2 linked regions of the Macaca mulatta genome follow. The protein of the gene in region 2 binds, or shares a complex with, the protein of the main gene of each other region. Links are inferred from orthologs where the notes say so. Each region holds a gene or a part of one and is shown on either strand. Other genes may lie near its edges.

The links.
Region 1: EXOSC6 (region 2) and EXOSC1 share a complex: the UniProt entries of both Homo sapiens proteins name them as parts of the RNA exosome core complex. The link is inferred for Macaca mulatta from reciprocal best matches to the Homo sapiens genes EXOSC6 and EXOSC1.

The regions. Positions count from the first base shown.
Region 1 is NC_133414.1:109,493,336-109,502,166, forward strand, and holds the start of EXOSC1 (exosome complex component CSL4), read right to left. Parts: upstream 4,876-8,831; 5' UTR 4,852-4,875; coding exon 4,821-4,851; intron 4,714-4,820; coding exon 4,598-4,713; intron 2,182-4,597; coding exon 2,107-2,181; intron 1-2,106. UniProt on the Homo sapiens protein: Non-catalytic component of the RNA exosome complex which has 3'->5' exoribonuclease activity and participates in a multitude of cellular RNA processing and degradation events.
Region 2 is NC_133425.1:69,616,626-69,625,754, forward strand, and holds EXOSC6 (exosome complex component MTR3), read left to right. Parts: upstream 1-3,729; 5' UTR 3,730-4,529; coding exon 4,530-5,348; 3' UTR 5,349-6,801; downstream 6,802-9,129. Other genes in the region: AARS1 (alanine--tRNA ligase, cytoplasmic), read left to right, coding at 916-1,024, 1,692-1,805, 2,398-2,517, 2,638-2,724, 3,057-3,170, 3,513-3,698; uncharacterized protein LOC114674302, read right to left, coding at 7,375-7,458, 8,959-9,098. UniProt on the Homo sapiens protein: Non-catalytic component of the RNA exosome complex which has 3'->5' exoribonuclease activity and participates in a multitude of cellular RNA processing and degradation events.

The sequences.
Region 1 (8,831 bases), on a different chromosome or scaffold from region 2:
AGGCTGCAGTGAGCCAAGATCGTGCCACTGCACTCCAGCCTGGGTGACAGAGCAAGGCCCTGCCTCAAAAAAAAAAAAAAAAAATCTAAAAAGGAAAAAAATCAAGGAATGCCAGAAAATAAAAGTCTTTTGCTTCTCTGCAGAAAAAGGTCTCAGCTTCAGATGTTCAAAAATAGGCTTCCCAATCATCCTCTGGCATCCCTGTTTCCCAGACACAGGTAGAAACTCTGTATTCAGAGAATCAGCTCAGTGAAGGAACTACGCATGCCTGACCTTGGCTGCCTTATTATTCTAGAAATCTGTAGACCAGAACAGTCCAGTAAAACTTTATGTAGTGACAGAAAAGTCATGTGCTGACCAGTATAGCAACCACTAGCCACAAGTGGCTACTGAGTACTTGAAATGTGGCTAATGTGACTAAGGAAACCAATTTTATTTTATTTTATTTTATTATTTTTTTTTTTTTGAGAAGGAGTCTCGCTCTGTCGCCCAGGCTGGAGTGCAGTAGCCGGATCTCAGCTCACTGCAAGCTCCGCCTCCCAGGTTCCCGCCATTCTCCTGCCTCAGCCTCCTGAGTAGCTGGGACTACAGGCGCCGCCACTTCGCCCGGCTAATTTTTTTGTATTTTTTTAGTAGAGACGGGGTTTCACCGTGTTAGCCAGGATAGTCTCGATCTCCTGACCTCATGATCCGCCCGTCTCGGCCTCCCAAAGTGCTGGGATTACAGGCGTGAGCCACCGCGCCCAGCCCTTATTTTTGAGAGACAAGTCTTGTCGTTACCCAGGCTGCAGTGATCATGGCTCACTGCAGCCTCAACCCCCTGGGTTCAAGCGATCCTCCTGCCTCAGCCTACCAAGTAGTTGGGACCACAGGCATGTGCTACCATGCCTGGCTAATTTTTTATTTTTATTTATTTATTTATTTATTTATTTATTTATTTATTTAATTTTCAGAGTCTCACTCTGTTGTCCAGGCTGGAGTGCCGTGACGCGGACTCATTGAAACCTCGGCCTCCCGGGTTCAAGCAAATCTCCTGCCTCAGACTCCCGAGTAGCTGGGATTATAGGCATGTGCCACCACATTGAGCTAATTTTTGTATTTTTAGTAGAGATGGGGTTTCATCATGTTAGCCATGATTGGCCAGGCTGGTCTCGAACTCCTGACCTCAGGTGATCTGCCCACCTTGGCCTCCCAAAGTGCTGGGATTACAGGCGTGAGCCACAGTGCCCAGCAATTTTTGATTCTTTTTGTAGAGATGAGGTTTCACTATGTTTCCCAGGCTGGTCTTGAACTCTGGGTTGAAGCAATCCTCCTGCCTCGGCCTCTTTTTTTTTTTTTTCCTTTTTTTTTTTTTTTTTTTGAGACGGAGTCTTGCTCTGTGCCCCAGGCTGGAGTGCAGTGGCACGATCTCGGCTCACTGCAAGCTCCGCCCCACCGGGTTCACGCCATTCTCCTGCCTCAGCCTCCCGAGTAGCTGGGACTACAGGCGCCTGCCACCTCGCCCGGCTAATTTTCTTGTATTTTTAGTAGAGACGGGGTTTCACCGTGTTAGCCAGGATGGTCTCGATCTCCTGACCTCGTGATCCGCCCGTCTCGGCCTCCCAAAGTGCTAGGATTACAGGCTTGAGCCACTGCGCCCGGCCTTTTTTTTTCCTTTGAGACAGAATTTCGCTCTGTTGCCCAGGCTAGAGTGCAGTGGCGTGATCTCAGCTCACTGCAAGCTCCGCCTCCCGGGTTCACGCCATTCTCCTGCCTCAGCCTCCCACATAGCTGGGACTACAGGTGCCCGCCACCATGCCCTGCTCATTTTTTTTGTATTTTTAGTAGAGACGGGGTTTCACCGTGTTAGCCAGGATGGTCTCAATCTCCTGACCTTGTGATCAGTCCCCCTTGGCCTCCCAAAGCGCTGGGATTATAGGCGTGAGCCACTGCGCCCAGCCTGCCTTGGCCTCTTAAAGTGTAAGAATTACCAGTGTGAGCCATTGTGCCCCGCCAGAAATACATTTATGTAGCTTGTGGCTATCATACTGGACACTGCAGTTCTGGCATGGTCATGATTTCAGCACTGAATGGGCGTTCTAAGCATGGAAGTTAGGACAAACTTACCTTACAGGTTACAATAGCTCCGACATCTGGCAGTAACTGGGACTCTGTTTCTCTTACTACAGACACCACAGGAAGCTACAGAGGGAAAAAGAAAAAAACTGAAATGTCCTGGCTAACTCTTGGGTCAAAGCATTTGTGTCTTGAGAGTAATATAGGAATGTCTTGGTACACAGGTGAGAGCTGGAGTATGCATTCATTTATAGGCCAGAGCAGAAGGCCTTAGAAATTTTAGGAAATAGGAGGACCAGGGGGCTACAGAATGCTGCTAGAAGATGTAAACCTCTAAACTTCTTTTTTTTTGTTGTCGTTGGAGATGGAGTCTTGCTCTGTTGCCCAGGCTGGAGTGCAGTGGCATATTCTCGGCTCACTGCAAGCTCCACCTCCCGGGTTCATGCCATTCTCCAGCCTCAGCCTCCCAAGTAGCTGAGACTACAGGCACCTGCCACCACGCCCGGCTAATTTTTTTTGTAGTAAATCCCTAAACTTCCAATAAGTTTTCTGGTGATTCTCTCAGAATTTCTTGGTATACAACTATATTGCCTATAATCATTGACAATTTTACTTTTTTTGGTTTTTTTTTGAGATGGAGTTTCACTCTTGTTGCCCAGAGTGGAGTGCAATGGCGCCATCTCGGTTCACTGCAACCTCCACCTCCTGGGTTCAAGTGATTCTCCTGCCTCAGCCTCCCGAGTAGTTGGGATTACAGACGCCTGCCACCATGCTCGGGTAATTTTTTGTATTTTTAGTAGAGATGGGGTTTCACCATGTTGGTCAGACTGGTCTCGAACACCTGACCTCAGGTGATCAACCCACCTTGGCTTCCCAAAGTGCTGGGATTACAGGCGTGAGCCACTACATCTGGCTGACAATTTTACTCTTTCCTCCAAAGTTATACTGCTTCTTTCTGTTTCTTATTTTACTGCACAGGCTGAAATTTCCACAGAAATGTTACAAATAGTAGCTACGCTTGTTTTAAGTGAATACTTGCAGAGTTTTCTCTTTGAGCATGGTATTGGCTGTTGGTATGAGACAGATATTTTGAGCCTCATCTTTTAACAATCTCTCCGTTGCTTACAATGCTTCAGCTCTCCTGGCCTTCTTTCAGTTTCCCCAACTTACTAAATTCTTCCCACTTTCAGATCTCTCTTCAACCTATTCTTTTTGCCAGAATTGCACTCTCTCCACCCACCTGACTCTAACCTACTCTTTAGATGATTCAGCTTCAATGTCACTTCTGCTGACTAGGATGGATTTGCCTGTTACATGTTCTTAAGGTGCCCTGTAATATTCTTTCAAAGCAGCCACCACATGTGTAACCATATGCTTATTTGAGCATTTATTTGTTTACAATTTGTGTCTGTGTCCTTTGATAGCAGAAACCAAGTCAGCGCTGTGCCTGACACATGAAAATACTCAAGTGGTATCTATCAAATGAACAAACTCAGGACTGTTAAGGACATTCCCAACAATGACTGAATAGAAAGCCCCTTGAGTCAGACGGCTTAAGTTACTTACTCAAAGCAGAATCGAGGTCAAGTTAGCCAGAACCTAACGGTTCTAATTCTGAATCCTCTTTCTACTGTGCTCCTTCAAATATTGCTTATATGATCCTGAGCTAATCCTGGATCAATCTCTAAAACTAGAAAAGTAGGTATTACGCATTCAACAAACATTTATTGAGGAGCTGCTTTGTGCTAGATACTGATGGTATGGTGGTAGCACCTGCACTTCGTGGAACTTAGATTTAAGCAAGGGAGAAGTCTAGTGGGAAACATACCTGAGTGTCTAATCATATGCTGACATAAGTGCTTGGAAGAAAAGGGACAGAGTTTTTTTGTAAGTCTTTAACAAAACAAACAAAAACAAAACATCCCACAAAACTCCTTTCCTCAATTAGTGGGTCCAGAAGGGCTTCTCTGAGGTGATAATACAGAAACTAACGGAGGTAGGAATTAAACAGGCCTAAGAAGACAGAAGCGTTCCAGATAGATGGCATGTTACAAAGGCTCTGTAGCAGGAGAAAGCTTGGCACATTACCGACACTGAAAGAAGCTAGTGTGTTACAAATTTTTTTAAAAGGGCAAGCCAAAACTGTGATTATAACTTTTACAAATAGAAAAGACTGTATGATTAGATCGCGTCAGTGAGGTGGAGATAGTGGCACTAGAGGTAAGCCGGAGAGGTAAGCAACATTCATACAGTATACAACGCACTGCTGGGCTGAGCTGGGCTAGGTTACTGAGTTCGCATCTGCTTTTGTCCCAACCTCCCTCCCCGAGGGTCAGCAGCACAACCAAGCGAGATCAACACAACTAGTGTGTGGTGGCTAAGTGCACAACAGCGGCGATACGGCTAGAAGAAACTAAGAGACCAACATTGTACCACTAAGGCTCTAAACACGCGTCCGCAGTGCCCATGCCTAAGGACTGGAACTCAAGGGCAGCCTAAGGGAAAAACAGAGAGAGAGGAGACGGCATGCCGCTTCCTTTACCGCGCCGTTCTCGCTGCTCTTCATCAGGCAGCCGGCAAGCGACGAAAAGATGTAGCCGTGGCGGGTGTAGGTGCCGCTGCCCGGGCTGCCCTCCTCCAAGTTACACAGACGTTCGCCTGCAGAAAAAATGCTGCATCGGTCATGGGCCCCCAGAAACTGCAGGCCGTCCAGGCTTCTTGCTTCGGCCCCTATCCAGGACTCTGTACGGGAAGCGCTCACTTACCGGGAATACAGTATCTCACAGGTGGTGCCATGATTGCCGCTGTCCCAAAAGCCGGATGAAAACGAAATCGATTTCTCATTGGCCAAACCCAGGCACAGTTCCGCAGTAAGATACGCGTCAATTGGTGTTCTTTATCCTTGCGTGTAAACTCCATTTCCCAGGTTACCCCGGGACAAATCCGGGGGCGGAACTTCAGCGCTCCATGCTTGCGCCTGCGCGTGTGGTTGAGGATGGGCTGGCGGCAGGTCCGGGTCCGCTGGGTGGCACTGCAGGCGGCGGGCCATGGTGGTTTGGATTGAGCCGGGCCCGGCCGGGGCGCCGAGTCGGAGAGGGTGGCAGTGAGCGGCGGCAGAGGCTGCGGGGCTCGGTTTGGCTGACTGGGGAGTCGGCAGGCGGCAGGTAAGGGCGAAGCCTCGGCCCTTGCTCCCCATCCTAGTCCCTTTTTCTGGGTCGGGCAATGCCCTGGGGCCTTGTCTTGAGTCCAGGTTCCTGCTCTCTCCTCGCCCTGCCCTGCGGGGCTGCGCCCTCCTCAGCCGGAGCGCACCTTGCGAGCAACCGTTACGTTCAGAGCAGGAAGGAAGGAGGTCAAGCGACCCAACTCGTCTGTTTCACAGATGTGGAACCTCAGATTCAGAGACCGGGTTTGACTTGTCCAAAATCTTCAAGATAGAGCCCAAACTGGAACCCGCGATTTTTGACTTCCAGTCCATCGCAGTTTCACCTCGCGGCTGTCATTGAGAAATAAAACCTTTTCCCGGTTTTTGTTTTGTTTTGTTTTTGAAAAGGAGTCTCGCTCTTTGGCCAGGCTGGAGTGCAGTGGCGCGATCTCTGCGCACTGCAACCTCCGCCTCCTGGCATCAAGCGATTCTCCTGCCTCAGCCTCCCGCGCAGCTGGGACTACAGGCGCGCGCCATCACGCCCAGCTAATTTTTGTATTTTCAGTAGAGACGGGGTTTCACTATGTTGGCCAGGATGGTCTCGATCTCTTGAGCCGCCCGCCTCAGCCTCCCAAAGTGCAGGAATTACAGGTGATTCCTCCCAAAGTGAGCCACCGCGCCCGGCCTTTTCCCGGTTTTTTAACTGTAGCTTCCAGTCCTGCGGTCCGATCCTCTTCGCGGCCTCCCATCCCCACTTAAGTAAGCTTTCTCAGGTTGAAAAAGCCGAACTCTGGTTGTGTGGGCCCGTCATCAAAAGATAAGCAGCCCCAAAATAAAGTTGCTACTTTTTCTTCTCAGCGTGTTACCCCAGAAGGGAGGTCTGCACGTGAATAAAATGCTACTCTTTATTGATGTCTGGTATCTCCTACTTGAGATTGCAAACATCCCGAGAGCAGCGTCCTTGTCCAGATGACATTGCCCACGACTTTGATCTCAGTTCACCTGACTTCTGATGGCTTTGCCGCCTGTCCCTCCCTGTCCCCTCAGTCGACTTTCCCCTTGGGAAACAGATGGTGACTTAGAGCCATGGGAAGAGGGAAGTGCTGTGGCCTGCAATCTCCTCCTGTCTGGTGGCAGACGACCACTATGGCCTGTGACTGTTACTGAGGGATGAGAGTACTCGGGCTTGTGCTTGGGGTGGTAGTAAAGCTGCGCTTTGCTCTGTTTCCTCCCCTGTTCACTGAGATTACCCCCTTCTTCCCTACACACATATTTTTGAATTTTGCTTTACCTCTATTTCCTGAGATGAAAAGTCTGGGCCAGGTGCGGTGGCCCGCCTGTAATCCCAGCACTTTGGGAGGCTGAGGCAGGCGCATCACCTGAGGTTGGGAGTTCGAGACCAGCCTGACTTACATGGAGAAACCCCGTCTGTACTAAAAAAATACAAAATTAGCCGGGCGTGGGGGCGCATGCCTGTAATCCCAGCTACTCAGGAGGCTGAGGCAGGAGAATTGCTTGAACCCAGGAGGCGGAGGTTGTGGTGAGCCCAGATTGTGCCATTGCACTCCAGCCTGGGCAACAAGAGCAAAACTCAGTCTCAAAAAAAAAAAAAAAAAAAAGTTTGTATGTTCAGTTGCAGCCCACTTACTACATATATCAATTTCCTGGCACCCTGTACCCCATTAGCTAATGGAGAGAGGCCCTAGCTTCAGACTTTGTTCACCCAAATCTGTATCTGTGCATCTAGGAGCTTTCTATTTACACGGTTGGGCTGATTTCTGGTTGGGCTTGTTTTCAAAAATGACTTCTAGCTCCTAAGTGCCATGATTTTAATAACAGTTTGTATTTCTCTCTTTATTAATCAGACAGAATGATAGCAGGAGACACTTATTTAGAGTTATCACATTGGCAAGAGTGTCCTTGTTGGTATTTGTAGGACAGATAGACATCTGGCCAGGCTTTCCACTTCTGCATCCCTCCAGGTCATTCGTTCAACAAATATTTGAGTACTTCCATGAGCCAAGTATTGTGCTAAGTGCTTTATAAACATTTCATTTACACTTACCAAATACAGTTTGCCCTTCATACCTGTGAGCTTCACATCGCAGATTCAACCAACCATGGATTGGAAATACTTGGGGGCAGCCGGGGGTGGTGGCTTACGCCTATAATCCCAGCACTTTGGGAGGCCAAGGCAGGCAGATCACCTGAGGTCAGGAGTTTAAGACCAGCCTTGCCAACATTGTGAAACCCTGTCTCTATTAAAAATACAAACATTTGCTGGGGGAGGTGACGGGTGCCTGTAATCCCAGCTACTTGGGAGGCAGAGGCAGGGAGAATTGCTTGAACCCAGGAGACAGAGGTTGCAGTGAGCCGAGATCTTGCCACTGTACTTCAGCCTGGGCAACAGAGCAAGACTTCATCTCAAAAACAAACAAAAAAAGTGTTTATGTGTAGCATTTACTTTGTATTAGGTATTATGAGTAATCTAGAAATGATTTAAAGTATATGGGAGGATATGTATAGGTTATATGCAAATACTATGCCATTTTATTTTATTTATTTATTTATTTTTGAGACGGAGTCTCTCTCTGTCGCCCAGGCTGCAGTGCAGTGGCCAGATCTCAGCTCACTGCAAGCTCCGCCTCCCGGGTTTACGCCATTCTCCTGCCTCAGCCTCCCAAGTAGCTGGGACTACAGGCGCCTGCCACCTCGCCCGGCTAGTTTTTTTGTATTTTGTAGTAGAGACGGGGTTTCACCGTGTTAGCCAGGATGGTCTCGATCTCCTGAGCTCGTGATCCGCCCGTCTCGGCCTCCCAAAGTGCTGGGATTACAGGCTTGAGCCACCGCGCCCGGCCTATGCCATTTTATAACAGATTTGAGCATCCATAGATTTTGGTATCTGAAGGGAGGACTGGAACCAATCCCTCCGCAGATACGGGCGTTGACTGTATCCGTATAGTTACAGAATCAATAAGGGTGAGAGCTGGAAGGGACTTCAGCATTTAATCCCACTCCCTCACTGAATGTGAACACAAGGAGATTGAGTCCCAGCAGGGTTGAATGATTTGTCCGAGGCTACAGAACTGCTTAGGGACAGAATTGAACCCTAAGGAATTGGGTAAATCTAGTCCTTGAGGCAGGCATTTCCTGTAGCGCTCAGGAATTTAGGACGTGGTTGAGAATGATCTGAAAAGTGGAGAACAGAAGTTTTTTTTTTTAAGACTAGAAGAGGTGTGAAGTAGCATATAATTCGAGTTTATTACAAATGAGGAATGCATTGGATTTGCATGCTAATACTACAAAAAGTATTTTGGCAAATAGGAAACTCTCCATTAGCTATAGAAAGGGAATGAACAGCGATGTGGACAGTCCCACAGCCACCTAGATTTGTTGTGGGGTAATCTGTTTTGTCCCACTCTTACATTTGATTGTGGGTATCTACCACTTTAAAAATTCATGCTACAAGCCAAATCATGCCTCCAAACAATAGGGGTGGAAGTTTGAGCTTGAGCTTTTTTTAAAAAAATTTTTTTTGAGACGGAGTCTTACTCTTGTCTCCCAGGCTGGAGTGCACTGGTGTGATCTCGGCTCACTGCAACCTCCACCTCCCGGGTTTACGCCATTCTCCTGC
Region 2 (9,129 bases):
GGATGAGACAGTCCAAGGTCCCCTGCAGGCCTCTGGCAGGCAGGGAGCAAGTGGGATGTGCAGAGTAGGGTAGGGGTCTGGGGGATTGAGTTACAGGCTTTTCTGCCCAGCTGAATTGGGCAGGAAACAGCTTTCAAAAACTTTATACAAGGGCTGGGTGCGGTGCCTCATGCCCAGCACTTAGGGAGGCTGAGGCAGGTGGATCACTTGAGGTCAGGAGTTCAAGACCAGCCTGTGCAACATGGTGAAAACCTGTCTCTACTAAAAATACAAAAATTAACTAGGAGTGGTGGCAGGTGCTTGTTTCCCAGCTACTTGGGAGGCTGAGGCAGGAGAATCACTTGAACCCGGGAGGTAGAGGTTGTGGTGAGCCACGACTGCACCATTGCACTGCAGCCTGGGCAACAGAACAGGACTCTGTCTCAAAAAAAAAAAAAAAAAAATCTTTATACCACTGTCAAAGAATGAGGATGAATTAATAAGCATTTGAGGTTCTCTGAACAACTGAAATAAAGCCTATTTGTTCAAGGGGTTGTGGTAAGATTTTAACAGCAGTCCTCAAATTGTCCCCTAATGAACAGGAATACAAAAATAGAGCGTAAGTTCCACCACAGGACCAAAACTGTCACGTAGAGCCTAATGGTAAGACTGTATTGGATATTAGGGACCACAAAGGACTTTGCTGTTTGCCTCATTTGATTTTCATAGCAGCTACGTGGGGAGCATCATCCCCATCTGAGAGCTGAGAACACTCAGGCTTGGTCAGCTGGTGTCTTGCTCGGTGTCAGAACACTCCCAAGCCCAGGCTTTCCCTGACTTTCAACCCATTCCTGCTTCTCTTGTCCGCTAGTGGGACCCCCAGCCAAGGGCTGCCAAGGACCTCTTTCACCACGACCTTTGTTTTCTGCTATTCAGGCACCTGCGGAACTCAAGTCACGCAGGAGCTTTTGTGATTGTGACGGAAGAAGCCATCGCCAAGGGTATCCGGAGGATTGTGGCTGTCACGGGTGCCGAAGCCCAGAAGGTGAGCAGGTCAGGCTGGTTTGTGGCTTATCTGAAGAGGGCAAGAGGAGCCCAGTCTGCGAATCCATAGAGCAAACAGTGCTCTGCATGGCTGCTGCAGTCAGAGTGAAAGTGGAGACTGGGCCATTCCCCCTGCCCCAGTGTCCTACCCCTGCTTGGCAGAAGAAACCTGCCACCACAGAAGATTTCCTAGCTTTCCTGTGTTTAGTCTTAAAATATATGTAAATCTGGCTATCTACCCCCTCTTATCTCCATGTGGAAGAGGGTGTAAGACATAGATTCGCTGTGGCTTCAGGGCCCCCGGCACTGATCCATGTACCCCTAGGGGCGTGCTTAGTTTGAGGCCGTGCAGTAGAGGATGGGTGCTCTGTCATGGGAACTGGTGTGTCTGACTTGTGCTAAAGCCCCAGGGTTAGCCACTTCCTGGGTGATGGGGTTCCTGATTCTCGAGCTTGATCATCCCCAAGTCAGAGTTGGGTACAGCCGTTGCCAGTGGGCCTGTGAGCACTGTGCTCCTTGCTGGGGCCTGATGCTGCCAGTACCTGCTCCCCACAGACACTTTTGGGGTGTGTTGCTGCAGGGCCTACCACTGGGGCAGCCGCTCAGACCCAGGATAGTGAGGCTGACTCAGGCCTCCTACCTGGGGTTGACCGGGTGTCCCCTCCCAGGCCCTCAGGAAAGCAGAGAGCTTGAAGAAATCTCTCTCTGTCATGGAAGCCAAAGTGAAGGCCCAGACTGCTCCAAACAAGGATGTGCAGAGGGAGATCGCTGACCTTGGAGAGGTAGGGGTGGCTTCCCTCCCTCCTCAGGGCCTGACGCATGAGACATGCCCTGGCTTCAGTAAATCTATAGTCAGTCAGTCCCTGGTTCTTGGTGGAATGGGCCTTTGGGCTGACTTCTGTTGTCCTGTAGCCTTGTAGCAGGGACCCCATCGATCCTGGCCTTGGACCCTGGAGGTTCCCTGCTGCCCCCATTGCTGCTAGCAGGAGAGCTCTTCCCAAGCATGTGTGGGCACTGGGGTGGAGGGATTTGGAGAAGGGGAAAAGGCTGCCCCCTGCTTCCAAGCCTGCCTGGCATTTATTTGCATTTTAAGCTGCCAGGAAGCTCATCACAGGCTGTTCCCAGCCTGGTAAGGACTAGGCCTGACTTGGAGCCCAGCTTTCTACTGTTCCTTTCTCTCTAGCCCTCCTTGTTTTACCTGCCGCAGCTGCTCCAGAAGGGACTGGTCTCAAAGCCAGAAGACAGCTTTGTGTTTTTGCTTTCCTTTCCAGGACACTAGTCAGGGAGGACTTGGGTTCAGGTGGGGTGGGCTTGACCCTGACATCCCAGCAAGTTGTGGCCCAGATTCAGATGGTCTTCTGGTTCTCGTTCCAGGCCCTGGCCACTGCAGTCATCCCCCAGTGGCAGAAGGACGAATTGCGGGAGACTCTCAAATCCCTAAAGAAGGTCATGGATGACCTAGACCGAGCCAGCAAAGCCGATGTCCAGAAACGAGTGAGTCCGGGCAGCACCGGTGGCCAGAGTGTTTCCTAGGCAAAGGCCGGCAGGATACAGCCAGGGGTTTGCGGCTTGTGCTTTTGGTCTGAGCTGCTCTTCTGGACTTTTTTCTTGCAGGTGTTAGAGAAGACAAAGCAGCTTATCGACAGCAACCCCAACCAGCCCCTCGTCATCCTGGAGATGGAGAGCGGTGCCTCAGCCAAGGCAACCCAGGGGCCGGGGCCCCCTCCCCTGGGGCACATCAGCCCTTTGGTGGCTGATATGTGACCTCTGTGGCTCTGAGCCAAGTGGTTGCCTAAGGGCCCACTGTCTGGGATTAAGGTTGGGAGGAGCAGCAGCTCCCTGCATGTGGGAGGCACACCTGGGCCAGGGTGTGGGCAGGGCCCTACACTGGGGTCCTCCACCCAGGCCCTGAGGACTACATCTGCTCTGGGAAGGGGTGGGGGTGGGTGGCGGTCCTTCTGAGGGCTGCAACTGCTCACACTAGTGAGGGTCCCTGCTCCAGCACCATGGTCTGAGCCAGGTCCTCCCCACAGGCCCTGAATGAAGCCTTGAAGCTCTTCAAGACACACTCCCCTCAGACGTCTGCCATGCTCTTCACAGTGGACAACGAGGCTGGCAAGATCACTTGCCTGTGTCAAGTCCCTCAGGTCAGAACCACCTTGCACCAGTGGGAAGTGTTGGGTCTTAAGCTTGTTTGCTGAGGCCTGTGTGTGTACAACCTGCATTTAAAAGAGCCTGTCTCCTGCCTGCCTGTTGGTCACCTTTGCCAGTACCTCTTACCCAGGCCTCCTCACTGGTTGCATCTGTCTGGTTGATACTTGGCTTTGCCACTCTGTCCTGTCCTGGCAGGGGCCATGACTGCCCCCTGCACTAGCCGTAAAGTCTGTCTCTGCCTCCAGCAGTATCACCCAGGGCAAAGGAGTGGGTGATGGCTCCTCCCTCAATCCCATTTTCTGTCCTGACTTCCCCCTTCCCTTTCTTTCTTCTAGAATGCAGCCAATCGGGGCTTAAAAGCCAGCGAGTGGGTACAGCAGGTGTCAGGCCTGATGGACGGTAAAGGTGGGGGCAAGGATGTGTCTGCACAGGCCACAGGCAAAAACATTGGCTGCCTGCAGGAGGCGCTGCAGCTGGCCACTTCCTTCGCCCAGCTGCGCCTCGGGGATGTAAAGAACTGAGCGGGGGAGGAGGTGGCTTCTACTGGCTCCATCCGTCCAGCCGGGAGCTCTTGATCTGCTACAAGAACATTTGAATCCTGGGACCTTTTGAGAGCCCCTCCTACCCCGGCTGTACCTGGAATACCCTCACGAGCAGTCCTGTGACTCAGCGCCCCTTATACTTCTGCCCTGAGCCCTCCACGTCAGTGCCATCTGTCGAGAACCACTACCCCCGCATTGCTGTTGATCACCACACTCGCATCTGTAGATAACAGCTTTCCAGCCTGAGCTTTCCGCGTCAGCAAGGACGAATCGTTTTTTGCTGCAGAGAATAAAAGGACCACGTGCAATACTTAATGCTATATGATCTCTATCCCTCTTCCCAGGTGGAGCTCGCTGTTTTGACAGCCCTTGGCCCCTGCTGTCTGTAGAATAAATGCTGTGGCTTATACTGGCTGCTGTAGTGTTCACCTAGTCCAGCCCCAGAACCCTAAATTTTGGGAAAAGCCCCTGGGGTTGCCTCAAACGTTTGTGGAGGTTGAGGCCAAATAGGGTGACATGGAGCAAGGCGTTCATAATTCAGTAGATGGGTGGGGTTAGTGGAAGCAGAGAAGCCTTGGAGCTGCTCTCCCGCTCCCTTCCAGCAGGAGGGATGGATCAGGCAGCCCTGCACAAGTGGGACCAGGGCGCCAGGGACGCCGGCCGTTCTCCCTCCGAGCCTCCAGCAGGCGCTGTAGCGCCGCCCGTCACTCTCCCGACAACCCTCACGCAGGCGCGCGTCTTTAAGCAACGGAAGAACCAGTGGGTGCGGCAGTGCGTTGGGCGGAAGCGGCTCTCACGCCAGGAGCCGCCATGCCCGGGGACCACCGCCGCATCCGCGGCCCTGAAGAGTCGCAGCCGCCGCAGCTGTACGCGGCCGACGAGGAGGAGGCGCCCGCCGCCCGCGACCCAACGCGACTGCGGCCCGTGTATGCGCGCGCCGGGCTGCTGAGCCAGGCCAAAGGCTCGGCCTACCTGGAGGCGGGAGGCACAAAGGTGCTGTGTGCAGTGTCGGGCCCGCGACAGGCCGAGGGAGGCGAGCGCGGCGGCGGCCCGGCCGGATCTGGCGGCGAAGCCCCGGCCGCGCTGCGCGGTCGCCTGCTGTGCGACTTCCGCCGCGCGCCCTTCGCGGGCCGCCGGCGCCGCGCTCCCCCGGGCGGCGGCGAGGAGCGTGAGCTGGCGCTGGCGCTGCAGGAGGCACTGGAGCCGGCCGTGCGCCTGGGCCGCTACCCGCGCGCGCAACTCGAGGTGTCGGCGTTGCTGCTGGAGGACGGCGGCTCGGCCCTGGCCGCCGCGCTCACCGCCGCCGCGCTCGCCCTGGCCGACGCGGGCGTTGAGATGTACGATCTGGTGGTGGGCTGTGGCCTGAGCCTCGCGCCGGGGCCCGCGCCCACTTGGCTGCTGGACCCCACGCGGCTAGAGGAAGAGCGCGCCGCCGCCGGCCTCACCGTGGCGCTCATGCCTGTGCTGAATCAGGTGGCCGGGCTGCTGGGCAGCGGCGAGGGCGGCCTGATCGAGAGCTGGGCGGAGGCCGTACGCCTGGGCCTCGAGGGCTGCCAGCGCCTCTACCCCGTGCTGCAGCAGAGCCTGGTGCGGGCGGCGCGCCGCAGGGGCGCCGCCGCCCAGCCCTGAACTAGAAGCCTGAGCAACGACGGACGCAAGCCGAGGACCGTGCTGCCGCCGTCCCCGAAAAGACCCGCGCCGTCGGCCTCCAGCCTGCGTCGAGATAAGCAGCCGGAGCCCTGGAGAGCACCTGGGTAGGCCCTAGCAGAGCCAAGGCGCCGGACAGCTGTGGTGTTGGAAAGGGTTTTTACAAACCTCGTTAAAGGAACTTTACTTGAGCCGGCTCTTAGCTTCGACCCAGTTGAGGAAACCTGTGAGCGCATCCTGACTCCCAAGTTGGAAACTTTAGCTGGACTTACCTGGAAGCTGGTACCTAGAGCTGCTGTCATTCAGGCCAGCCAGTGACCCCCTCCGATATAACTGGGCGACTTTTCAGAGGATGGACAAGACGACTGTGCCTTCTGTGTCTGAGCCAAAAGAAAGACCCTTTTATATTTGAAAAACGTCTTATGGTGTGGTTCTTCTTGGTCCGGGATTTAAGAGAGCAAGGCTCTTTTGTTCTTGCATCCCAGGTGTCAAGGGTCGCGGCGGCATTGCCTTAAACGGGTTCTGTTCCTTAGGCCCACGTGAACAGGAGAGACGGGCTGAAAAGAGCTCCAGAGCCTGATGGGAGCGCTGTGATTTGGAGAGCAGCTGCACCCACACGAACCAGAGTTAGGGGAACTGCTGAGATACGACGAGAGTAGGGAGAGTTGGCCGGGCGCGGCGGCTCACACCTGTAATCCCAGCACTTTGGGAGGCCAAGGCAGGGAGATCACCTGAGGTCGGAAGTTCGAGATCAGCCTGACCAACATGGAGAAACCCCGTCTCTACTAAAAATACAAAATTAGCCAGCACTAATAATGGTGGCATATGCCTGTAATCTTAGCTACTCGGGAGGCTGAGGCAGGAGAATCGCTTGAACCCGGGAGGTGGAGGTTGCGGTGAGTGGAGATCGCACCATTGCACTCCAGCCTGGGCAACAAGAGCAAGACTCCGTCTCAGGAAAAAAAGTACGGCCCCAGAAGTGCGCTGAGTGCACCTCGTGCCCCAACCTGGCTTGGTGCTGGGTAGCTGAAAAGGGTTTTGCTCTGGGTAGAAGCCATCTGTCCTTGGCCATGTGCAGAATGGCACAACCCGAGCCTCCACGGCTGATGAGAAGTGGCACCCTGGTCCTACAAGGAAGACCCTGAGCAGCACCGCAGAGGGCAGGTGCACTGCTAGGAAGGCCAGGTACAACCTGACTGACTCACCACGAGGTGGGGTCTTTCCTGTGTCGCTACCAGCTCTGCTGGTTTGGGCTCAAGACTGCATGGTAGGAAGCTAGGTGACTGCCATTTGGAAGGCGGCCTGGTCCCCTCTCTGCACTCAGCTTCTCTAGGAAGGGCCGGCCTGGGTCAGCCCAAGGACCAGAATGAGTTTCTGGGGCCACACCCAGAACCCCTGACCAGGAAAAATACAAATTTTATTTTTTCCCTTCTGACATAACGTGTCTTTCTAGAGCAGGTCTGAAATAGTATCACACCAGTGGGGAGAGGACATAATGTAATTCTGAAGTGTGACTTCCTAGAGTAGATGGAGCCCAAAGAGGGCTGTGTGGGGTACACACTGAGAACATTCCAGCAGTTTCAGGGAGATTGGAAACTCAGGGAGAGCTGTTGGCTATCTGTTGACTGGCGGTACATCGGGAGGGGAGTGAAGATCAGCTGTGTCTGCATTCAGACAAGGCTGAGGGTGCCCTCTGAGGGGTGGGGTGGGGGTGGGGGTGGGGGTGGGGGTGGGGGTGGGGTGGGGATGGGCTGTCATCTGCCCCTTGCAAGAGAGCCTCAGCTTCATGAGGATGGCGACCTGGTGCAGTCCCAGGCCACCTCCTAACCGTGTCAGTCCCAGGACCATCATCTCGAAATGCAACCTCTAAAGAAGCTAAACCCACCACTACAGGTTGGCCCTCTGCTTGTCTGGCAAGCCCTGTGTCCACTTCCATTGCCCCAGCTCCAGATCAGGCATCTCAGGTTGCTAAGGTGGCTTTCAAAACCTACGCAAGGCAAGGAGCTGTCTATCCGAGAATGCCAGGAGCTGATGAGGCTGGAGGGGTTCCTGCTGCCTCCTGGCTGGCCTGGTCTTCAGCGTGGTTCTTCACCTGTAGGGAAAACAAAAGCAGGATAGTGGCAGAGGGGCCGGAGGCATGGGAGGCTAGGAAAGGGGGGCCACCTACTCAACATCTAGTCTCCCCCACACCCCGATTTCCATTTCCTCCCCAGAGCTTTAGCAGCTCAGGGCTTCTCTATATTCTACCTAAGACCTAGAAACTCAGAACCACCAGGCTAAAGAAAGCAGTCGTCTACATGTAGCCATTCTTTTCCCAGATATTACAGGTGTGACTCAGGATCTGGGCAGCAGTGAAAGCCCTCCTGAGCCCAGCAGACCGAACACAGAGCTGGGTGGGTAGATGGGGGAGGGCTCCAGCCCCATTGTGGGCCGGGCATGGCCTGCCTCAGACCAGCAAAAGGTGGTGGTTTTGGATGGGCAGGGAATATTCAGGTACTCTAATGCCACACACAAGGCTGTTACCAGTTCCAGGAAGGTTAGTGTGCCACAGCTTCCCCAGGGGGCATGGTCCATGCGGCAGCCAGAAACCCTGCAGCAGCAGGAAGAGCGCAGGAAGGTGGTTTTTTTTTTTTTTTTTTTTTTTTTTCTGAGATGGAGTTTTGCTCTTGTTGCCCAGGCTGGAGTGCAATGGTGCGATCTCAGCTCAGCAACCTCCGCCTCCCGGGTTCAAGCAATTCTCTCAGCCTCCAGAGTAGCTGGGATTACAGGCACGCGCCACCACACCAGGCTAATATATTATTTTTTGAGATGCAGTCTCTGTCACCCAGGCTAGAGCGCAGTGGCACGATCTCGGCTCACTGCAACCTCTGCCTCATGGGTTCAAGTGATTCTCCTGCCTTAGCCTCCCAAGTGGCTGGGATTACAGGCGCTCACCACCGTGCCCAGCTAATTTTTGTATTTTTAGTAGAGACGGAGTTTCACCATCTTGGCCAGGCTGGTCTCAAACTCCTGACCTCGCAATCCACGTGCCTCAGCCTCCCAAAGTGGTGGGATTAATGGTGTGAGCCACCACGCCCAGCCAATTTTTTGTATTTTAAGTAGAGACAGGGTTTCTCCATGTTGGTCAGGCTGGTCTCAAACTCCCAACCTCAGGTGATCCACCTGCCTTGGCCTCCCAAAGTGCTGGGATTACAGGCGTGAGCCCCTGCACCTGGCTGAAACCCGGCTGAAACCCAAGACAAGCTTTCCAGCTGGGTCTCAGACAGGGGTCTGGGGCCATGGGGCACACCTGTGACATTCCCTTTACGGTGCTCCAGCCGTGTCCCCCCACTGCCTTCTGGGAGAAGGTATTTCAGCCTAGAACTGACCCTGGCACAGCTGAGCCCTCCAAGCCCAGGGTTGGGAGGCAGAAAACAGGACAGGGGCCCAGCCTACTGGGCATGACTCTGTGACAGAGGGGACACACCTCCCCCTCCGCACTACCTCGGGCTCCTGTACTTACCAGAGAGGCCCTCCCCCTTGCTCACAGGGAGGCCACAAGGAACCCAACACAAGTACGGTGGAGATGGGGCAGCGGGGCCGGGTCACTCACTGTCCACTCCGTGTCTGTGCCGCCCTCGTAGCCATCTGCCTCTGGACCAGCCTCCTCGCTCCGGGGCTTCTGCGGGGGCTCAGAGCTGCAGGAGGAGCCCTTGCTACCAGGACCCCTGTTTTTTCCACTGTCCTTTGTGGCTGTGCAGAGAAGGTCATCAGTCAATGGCTG